Tribolium castaneum: one gene and its partner. The protein of the gene in region 1 interacts with the protein of each later gene in a pairwise test. Links are inferred from orthologs where the notes say so. Each region holds a gene or a part of one and is shown on either strand. Other genes may lie near its edges.

Evidence for each region.
Region 2: the proteins of akirin (region 1) and Bap60 interact in binary tests that used the Drosophila melanogaster proteins (3 or more experiments, as listed by UniProt). The link is inferred for Tribolium castaneum from reciprocal best matches to the Drosophila melanogaster genes akirin and Bap60.

The regions. Positions count from the first base shown.
Region 1 is NC_087398.1:5,661,233-5,665,685, forward strand, and holds the start of akirin (akirin), read right to left. Parts: upstream 3,076-4,453; 5' UTR 2,831-3,075; coding exon 2,638-2,830; intron 1-2,637. Other genes in the region: ankyrin-3, read right to left, coding at 4,227-4,453. UniProt on the Drosophila melanogaster protein: Molecular adapter that acts as a bridge between a variety of multiprotein complexes, and which is required for embryonic development and for normal innate immune response.
Region 2 is NC_087395.1:25,851,928-25,856,098, reverse strand, and holds Bap60 (brahma-associated protein of 60 kDa), read left to right. Parts: upstream 1-1,558; 5' UTR 1,559-1,775; coding exon 1,776-1,889; intron 1,890-1,936; coding exon 1,937-2,103; intron 2,104-2,191; coding exon 2,192-3,257; intron 3,258-3,306; coding exon 3,307-3,462; 3' UTR 3,463-3,543; downstream 3,544-4,171. Other genes in the region: fibroblast growth factor receptor substrate 3, read right to left, coding at 1-238, 487-1,112. UniProt on the Drosophila melanogaster protein: Involved in the recruitment and site-specific anchoring of the Brahma complex at specific promoter sites.

The DNA of each region.
Region 1 (4,453 bases):
GTCGAGTTTTATTAATGAAAATGTAAATTTAAATATCGGATGTACCGTTCAAATTTCTTCTGGAGTGTGCATTTGGACTACATCCGAGTGAAAAGTTTCCAAATAACTGAACTTGTTTTTCGAGTCGATGCATTTTAGCTGGTAATTTATGATTGCAGATGCCTGGACGCGGTGACACTTTTGCCGGATTTACATACATTTTAACGTATTAGCATCGCCTGTTTCGTGTTATTAGACACATAAATTTCAACAACAAAGCAACATTTTATGCTTATGACCCACCAGTCACGCAGTGGCACATTTAATTCAATTTACAAAGCCGTAAAATTTTCAGAAAAAACCCTAGAGACACAGCCACAACGTCACTATCCGCGAATCTAGACACAGGTGTCCTTCTAAGTCGGGATGAGCTTTTACCCATCTCTTATCCCTTTACGACCAACTACCATTACCAAGTGCTTCGAAAAATTACCAGATTACGGGCAGTAAAAGCATCCTAAACCCAAACTCTCAAATAATGCTGATAAGATAAATGGGAATATTTTTCCAGGAAGTCAGATTTCGGACAAAACATCGAAATCATTGGTCTTTAAATCCAAACAAAACTGTATATGTATTTAATTTTAAAATTTACTAAATTATTACTTATATTTCGTACTATTATTTAAATTTTAAATAAATAAAACAACAAAATGTGTGTTTACAATGGATTTATTTCAACCGTAGCAACTGATATAAAATATAAAGTTCGAAATCCAGTACAATTTAGAAAACAACAAATAGTTTTTTTGAATTTTAAACAATTGTTAGGTTTATGCTCAGCCTAAGACATTATCATACATTCAAAAAACAATATATTAATTAATTACAAAAAAAAACAAGAAAACCATTCCATAACACATTGATTTTCAAACAGCACCTTTATACCTGCGACTTAATATTTTCACAGAAAAGGTCTTTGACATCTCTTTCGTAGTAATGCTTCCTAATAAGCTGACTTTAAGTAGTATAATTCTTGTAAATTTTTACGTTCCCTCCAAAAATGATTCAATTTAAAACTGGTGTTTTCCCCTATCCCCTTATTTTCATATTATGTTCAGATACTTACGCATACACAAAACAATTAACGTATTGTTTATTTGTTTAATCTTTCTTGGCACAAATTATTTTATAACAGTTCAACAACAAAAAAGGTAAATGAATGATGACAATGAAAATACTAATCAAATCGATTAATGTTTCTAATAAAATTATTGTTGTATTTACTTTTGTTTTATTACTAGATTATTTTACCATCCTATATAAAAAATCGAAAAATTGTACGCATCAGCATTTAATAAAGATAATAACTAAATCAGAATCATACTAACAAAAGTGTTAACACAATTTATAACTTCATTTATATGTGATTCAAACAAGATGATAGAAAAATTTAATTTGTAACTGTGTTACAAATTAAATTTTGTTCAAGCATGTCTGAAACGAGCTTTACGAGCTGATACAAAATATGAGGTCAATATATTTTGTTTTCAAGAGAACATGTATAAGCTTTAATGACTTCATTAAAAAAGCTTTTAAGCACGCTCTAACATAAAACAGGTAATGAAAATAAATTTTATTAAAAAAATGGTACAACATTCTTTCTACAGAGACTTTTTTTAACTCTAAAAATAGTCACCATGTTACCAATAATACGAAAAATAATAATTATTTGATGTCAAGTTGTTTGAAGTTTATTTTAGTGAAAAGATAATCCTTTGTAATCCGGCATTTCCCCTAAAAAAATATAAATTGCTTTTGCTTTGAAAAGAACCGAATTGTTATTTGTTTCTTGCCAGTGGTGGCGCAACTCCTGGGGGTAGGAGGTAGTGAATCAAAAAAATACGTTCGTCAAAAAAAAACTAAAACTATGCAAAAATAAAGGTTAATAAATGTCCAGTGTTTAAAAATAATCAGTTTTTAAAGATACTAATCTTAACTGAGGGCTGAAAAGATAATCCTTTGTGATCTGGCATTTCTCTTAAAAAAATATACTCGTACCACCAATTTCGTTATTTAGTGAAATTTGTCGGCTCAAAAAAAGTGGAAATAGAATGACAAAAAAATACGTGCGTTTTTAACGTGGCTCACAATCTAGGAAGTCATGTTGGTACAAGCTCAACTTAAGTTTTATCTTCAAGCTTCTAAATATCACAATAAAATCTTAAGTATCTTTCATTATTACAGTTAGCTATGAAAAAATTATGACTCAAATCATGGAAGATTTATGTATTCCTCGATCGGTCATGAAATTTCCCATAAAACTCTAATCGAATCCAGGCATCCAAAGCGTGAGAGCCTGTAAGCCCCAATTATAAAATTTAATGTCCTCGCTCCCCTCCGCTCCAAAATCAATATACCCGCACCCAGATTTGGTTAAATCGGCAAAAATAACCTAAAAACGTTGAGATAACACGAGCGGATAACCTCAATTTCTAAAATCACGATGCTCCAACGAATTCGAGCAAGATAAGCAATTAACACGGAATTAAAATCGGTCCTGTAAAAAGTCCCTCGGACGTCATTCCTTTATCGGCGATCAGCTGAGACCGAGTGTCAACAACCGCAAAGGCCCTTAGGCCGGCCCTGTCCACTTACCAGGGGTCAATTTTTGGCTGACGACATCGGGAAAGACGGACTTGGGCTTGGGGGAGGAGGAGGTGGCCGGAGGCGAAGCCCTGTCTCTGTGCGTGGGGCTCTCGCAGAAGGGAATGCAGCGCCTGCGTTTGGCCGGACGGCCCCCCAGCACGGGCTCCCAATCCAAGGAACGTTTCAGAGTAGCGCACGCCATTTTTAGTTCTGTCGCTAACACTTCACACACAAAACAAACTTTGTTTCACAGGCTATCGCGAATTTGCTATGTACAAAACCGAAATTGCACTTGGACACTTATGCAGCGGTACTTTTACCCCGAAACTTGTCCATGAAAGGGGAATGGTCGACGATTTCATGCGCACCCAACGACCAATATGGCGAAACGAAATAAGAGAAGTGACATTTTGTGAACGGCAGAGTGGGCTGTGATGAATATACGGTTACCATTGGCTTGCGCGACTCTGCGCATGCTTTGTACCCTGGCGACATCTCCCGGGACCAAAGATCTTCGCGTTTTTTCAAAATTAATTGGGCTAATTTAAAGGCAATTACGCAAATTTCCGTCTAACAACGGCTAAAACGAATGTATCATGAAATCGCTTGCTACCTTATGCCATTTTTAGGCACGTTACTGTTGCTTTTGCTTTGAAAAGAACCGAATTGTTACTTGTTTCTTGCCAGTGGTGGCGCAACACCTGGGGGTAGGGGGTAGTGAATCAAAAAAGTGCGTTCGGCAAAAAAAAAACTATGCAAAAATAAAGTCCAGTGTTTAAAAATAATCAGTTTTTAAAGATACTAATCTTAACTGAGGGCTGAAAGAAAGCAAATCCGTGTAATATAGACATTTTTTTATTAAATACTTTTTATCCAAATATGATACCAATATGCCTCAACAATAAAATCACATAATCTTAAATCTTAACATAAAATATACTATCCAATTTATATATTATACTTAGCTCTTAATAATATTTGGCATATATATTAAAATGTACAGAGCTGATATTTTGTATAGCATAGGACTTTGCCAGATTCCTACAACAAACCAAGCTAAATATTATTGTCAAAGAAAAACCGGTGACGGAACCAAAAACCGTTCGCACACGTCTGTGTGCAGTGTGTTTCAAACGTAAGAGGCACGGAATAAACAACAATGTGAGTGGTTCATTTAAAAACTGTCTAATCTGCACAAAACCCTGTTCAACACGAACACAGCTCAAAAGCGTATTAAGATATCATAAGTCGTAGTTCTACAACATCCTTGCTTTTAGTCGACCCCATTGTACCGTTCAACTGAACACTTACGATTACTAGAATTTAGAAATTTTAACAAGAAATCACAAGTATATTATCTCCCTTAAAAACTAGCAACGGCTGAAGCGCGTCCAGGATTTTTTAACATATCACAGCTAGCGCCAGAAACAAGTCAAACAATGATACGTTTTGATAATTGACTTGCGACGAGTATTTTCATGATTTCGAGCGAGAAAGAAACAATATTCAACACTGGGCTAAGGGTCACATTTAGACATCGCCACTTAATTCTAAACCGATATTAGAAGAAATCCTGAACGACTTCGAGTCACCTTGATCTACGGTTCAAAGTTCAACAAATAATCTTTCAGCTGATTGGGCAGATTCAGTTTGTTAATGTAGAGTCCCGGTCTGCGCCCGAGACAGTTGTGTATTTTAACGCGGCAGATCTGTTTCAGACTTCTTGGTCTTTTGTATAAATCTCTAATAATACAGGTCAACGGCTCAGTCATTTTCCCCGGTACCAAACTCAACTGCTGAGTGTGCAAAATCTTCAGACATTCGA
Region 2 (4,171 bases), on another chromosome or scaffold:
CTCAGCGTAATTCACTTCGTGGACAGTCAAATAGAGCGCGGTGGGCGTTTGGGGCACACTTGGCGCCTCCGCCCCCGACAAAAGCGGCCTTAAATGTTCTAAATCTTTGGTGTCTATATTGGCGTAGCAATGTCTTGCGTTGTCCTCGGAAGGATCCGAGTCTTTGGTTCCAACGGTGTCCACATTCATGTACAGGTGGCACGGACTCTCCACAAGGGGGCGCAGCTCCTCCCCACATCTAAATACCCAGTGACTTTATTTTTATTTAAATCAAAACTGCCAAATTAAAATTTTTAATTTATCACCAACTTATTATTATTTAAAGGCAGAAAATTATAAATTATTCACCGAAGAAAAAAAATATAAAAGTGGCACAGTTGGCAAAGCTGTTTATTTAGCAAAATTTCAATCTAACTGACAAAAATGTGTAAAAAAAATCGGTAAAAGCGCCCTAAATGAAATAAATCTGGGACTTTAGCAACTTACCCCTCGGGGGCTGCGGCGCCTAAGTTGGCATAATTGGGAGCCTCCAACTCAGTAATAACACTGGAATTGGTGTACTGGTGGTCCCCCAAACTGCCCCTCTTATTATTATTGTGTTCGTGCGTCGACTCGGCCGTCGTGGGGCTCACCGGGCCGTTGCTGGTGATGGACCCAGGGCGGCTCAGACTCGGCCTGGGGGCCCCCACCGGATTGAGATAGCCCTCGGGCTGGGACGGGGCGCGTCGCTGCACAGGGGGCCCCGTGGAAACGGCCGGAAAGTCCGAAATGGCGTTAATAAGGGGGTTCTCGTCGGAATTACGTACAATGTGATGTTGGACGATATTGAAAAGTTGCTCAGCCTTGCGGCACCTAAACGCATAAATGCCTTGGCCAGTGGGGCACCTGCGACCGCACTCGAAACTGAAAATTTCCGAGTCGAAGCCGTACTTGCGCAGCGACCTGAGGGGCCACACTGTGGGGTTTTTGCCTCTTTGGTGTAGGACTAGTTCAGTTTCCCGGACTTCGAGCTTGCCGGGGCTCACCAAGTCGCCTTGGTCGTTGACGTTGGATACGTCGAAAATGTTCGGGTGTTGATCGTTTATGTCGGGCTTGCTGCTAACACAACCCATTTTCTACCTAGGAGTAAGGGGTAAATAAACATCAAGGTTATTTGGTTGGGGGCACTTACTAGGTTTGGCTCAAAGCTTGATTGCATGGACACGTGGCTTTTCAGGCATTCTGACCAAAAATTACTGTTTTTACATTTTGTTGTGAGTTTTTCGGGGTTTTTTAACCAATTTTTATGTGAAGTTCTCACATAATAAACAGCGACGCCATCATGGTTCTTCTGTCACCAGGCCGGCAACCAAACACAAAAAATGCGAAAATAAATTCATTTGACCACCGGCAACAACCCCACGGGCCCCAAAACACCCACAACAACACGCGTAAACAACCCAACAACCTTTCTGAAAATTTTTAAACAAAATACGGAAAAACAACGGTGTTGGTACCCCTACTAGTAGCTCAACTGGTCACAATCTCACAATGTTCACAAAACCTAATAGTGAATTCACACCTTTTTCGTATTTTTTTCCCAAACTTTGATTCAATAAACCCAAAGGTCGCAAAACCGTTCTTAATCACACATTTACTATTGATAATTCCTTATCAAATTAACAATTTCGTCCACGCACACCTTCGTCACCAAACCCACCAAACACACAAGACCGAAACTGGGCAACTGGGGACGCATCTGTGTGTTTTTTGTGCTTAAGAAGTGATAAAAGGCCATGGCCCAGCGTTTCGCGGGCCCCGTGCCGCCCCAAGGTCCCGGGGGGCCCCCACCCCAGCGTTACCCGCCCCAAAATCCGGGAATGCGCCAGTACCCAGCCCAGAATTTTCCGGTGAGTTTCCCCATTTTCCACCCAATTATTTCTAATTCGCACTATAGCAACGGACAGGGTACAACACCCCGCCCCCGAACATGGGGGCCCAGCCGGGCGCTATGATGCCGCGGCCCCCTCAAGCCCCCTATTCGCCCATGCGAGGGGGGCCCATGCCGCCCCAGCCGGGCGTTAAACGGCCCCCGGACAACAGGGCCGTCATGCAGCAAAAGAGGTAAGCAATTGGGAGTATACAGAATTGTTATTTTTATTTATTTCAAATATTTGTATTTGTTCGAAAAAATCGTTTACGCTGTTGGCAGTGATTACCCACATGGAACCAAGAAAAAGAAGAAGCTTTCCGACAAGATTTTGCCCCAAAAAGTCAGAGATTTGGTGCCCGAAAGCCAGGCCTACATGGATTTACTCGCGTTTGAGCGTAAATTAGACTCGACCATAATGAGAAAACGGTTGGATATTCAAGAGGCGTTAAAACGTCCAATGAAACAAAAACGCAAATTGAGGATTTTCATCTCTAACACGTTTTATCCAGCCAAAGAGGCGTGCGCCGAGGGCCCAGACGGCCCTGGACAAGAGGGCTCCGTGGCCTCTTGGGAGTTGCGAGTCGAGGGCCGCCTTTTAGACGACTCGAAAAGTGACCCCAATAAAGTCAAACGCAAATTTTCGTCATTTTTCAAATCGTTGGTGATTGAGCTCGATAAGGAGTTGTACGGTCCTGATAACCACTTGGTGGAATGGCACCGTACCTTAACAACTCAAGAAACAGACGGTTTCCAGGTCAAGAGACCTGGGGATAAGAATGTGCGGTGCACTATTCTTTTGTTACTCGACTACCAACCGCTACAATTCAAACTCGACCCGCGATTGGCCCGTTTATTGGGCGTGCACACGCAGACACGCCCCGTTATCATCTCCGCCCTATGGCAGTATATAAAAACGCACCGATTGCAAGACGCCCACGAACGCGAATACATCGTGTGTGATAAATATCTCGAGCAGATCTTCGGGTGTCCTCGGATGAAATTTGCGGAAATCCCCCAACGTTTAAACCCGTTGCTCCACCCACCGGACCCTATCGTCATCAATCACGTGATCTCGGTGGAGGGCGGGGCCGAAAGCAAGCAAACCGCCTGCTACGATATTGACGTGGAGGTGGACGATACGCTCAAAACTCAGATGAATAATTTCCTGTTGAGCACAGCTAGTCAGCAGGAGATCCAAGGTTTGGATGCGAAAATTCACGAAACTGTCGATACGATTAATCAATTGAAAACAAATCGTGAGTTTTTCTTGAGTTTTGCCAAAGATCCGCAACAGTTTATTTACAAGTGGATCGTGTCACAAACCAGGGATTTGAAGGTATGGAAAGTGAGTGTATTAGGGTGGAAAAGTGGCATTTTCCGCACGTTTGTTCTAGTGTATGACCGATGTGGTGGGCAATCCTGAAGAGGAGCGGAGGTCCGACTTTTTCTACCAACCGTGGGCGCAAGAAGCCGTGTGTCGCTATTTCTACACCAAGGTGCAGCAAAAAAGGGCCGAACTGGAGCAAGCACTCGGCATTCGCAACAATTGAGCGAAACCAGCACGAGATATGTATTAGTTTATTTGAATATAATTTCCAGCATTTAATAAATAAACTGCATTTTTAACTCAAGTCACTTTCCTTAAAATGTCTCCAAATAACCAAAAACAAACTCACTAAGGCTGGAGAATTTTTCCTCAAAAATTCAGTGATTTTTTTCCTATAAGGGTGAAAAATTTTCGGCAACAATGAGGGAAACAAACAGGAAATTTGTATTAGTTTATTAGAATATAATTTCCATCATTTAAATAAATAAATTGCATTATTGACTCAAGCATCCACTATCAGTTTCGTTACACAACTACGACAGCTGTACCAAAGACTGTTACTAAACAATTATCTACAGTCAACAAAAACAAATAAATTAGAAATGCAATTGTGCACCAATCGGGTCTTTGACGGAAGAACAAAACTTTGCTACTTATCACAATGAAATTAGATTGCATCGGAGCGATTAGCACTTGCGCCCGTCAAGCCAACCGTCCGACCTGCACCATTGAGAAAAACAACAAAATAAAATCGTTTTAAAAAAATATATACTTAGACCACTACAAGCAATCAATCAATCGTAAACAAATTTATACAAAATACATCAATCAGGCTATACAAATAATCCAGTTGTGTAAAATGTGCTACTTAATTACCTAAACGTGCTAGTTAGACCATTTGATCAAGAGGAGAGACAACTAAAATCCTAAAA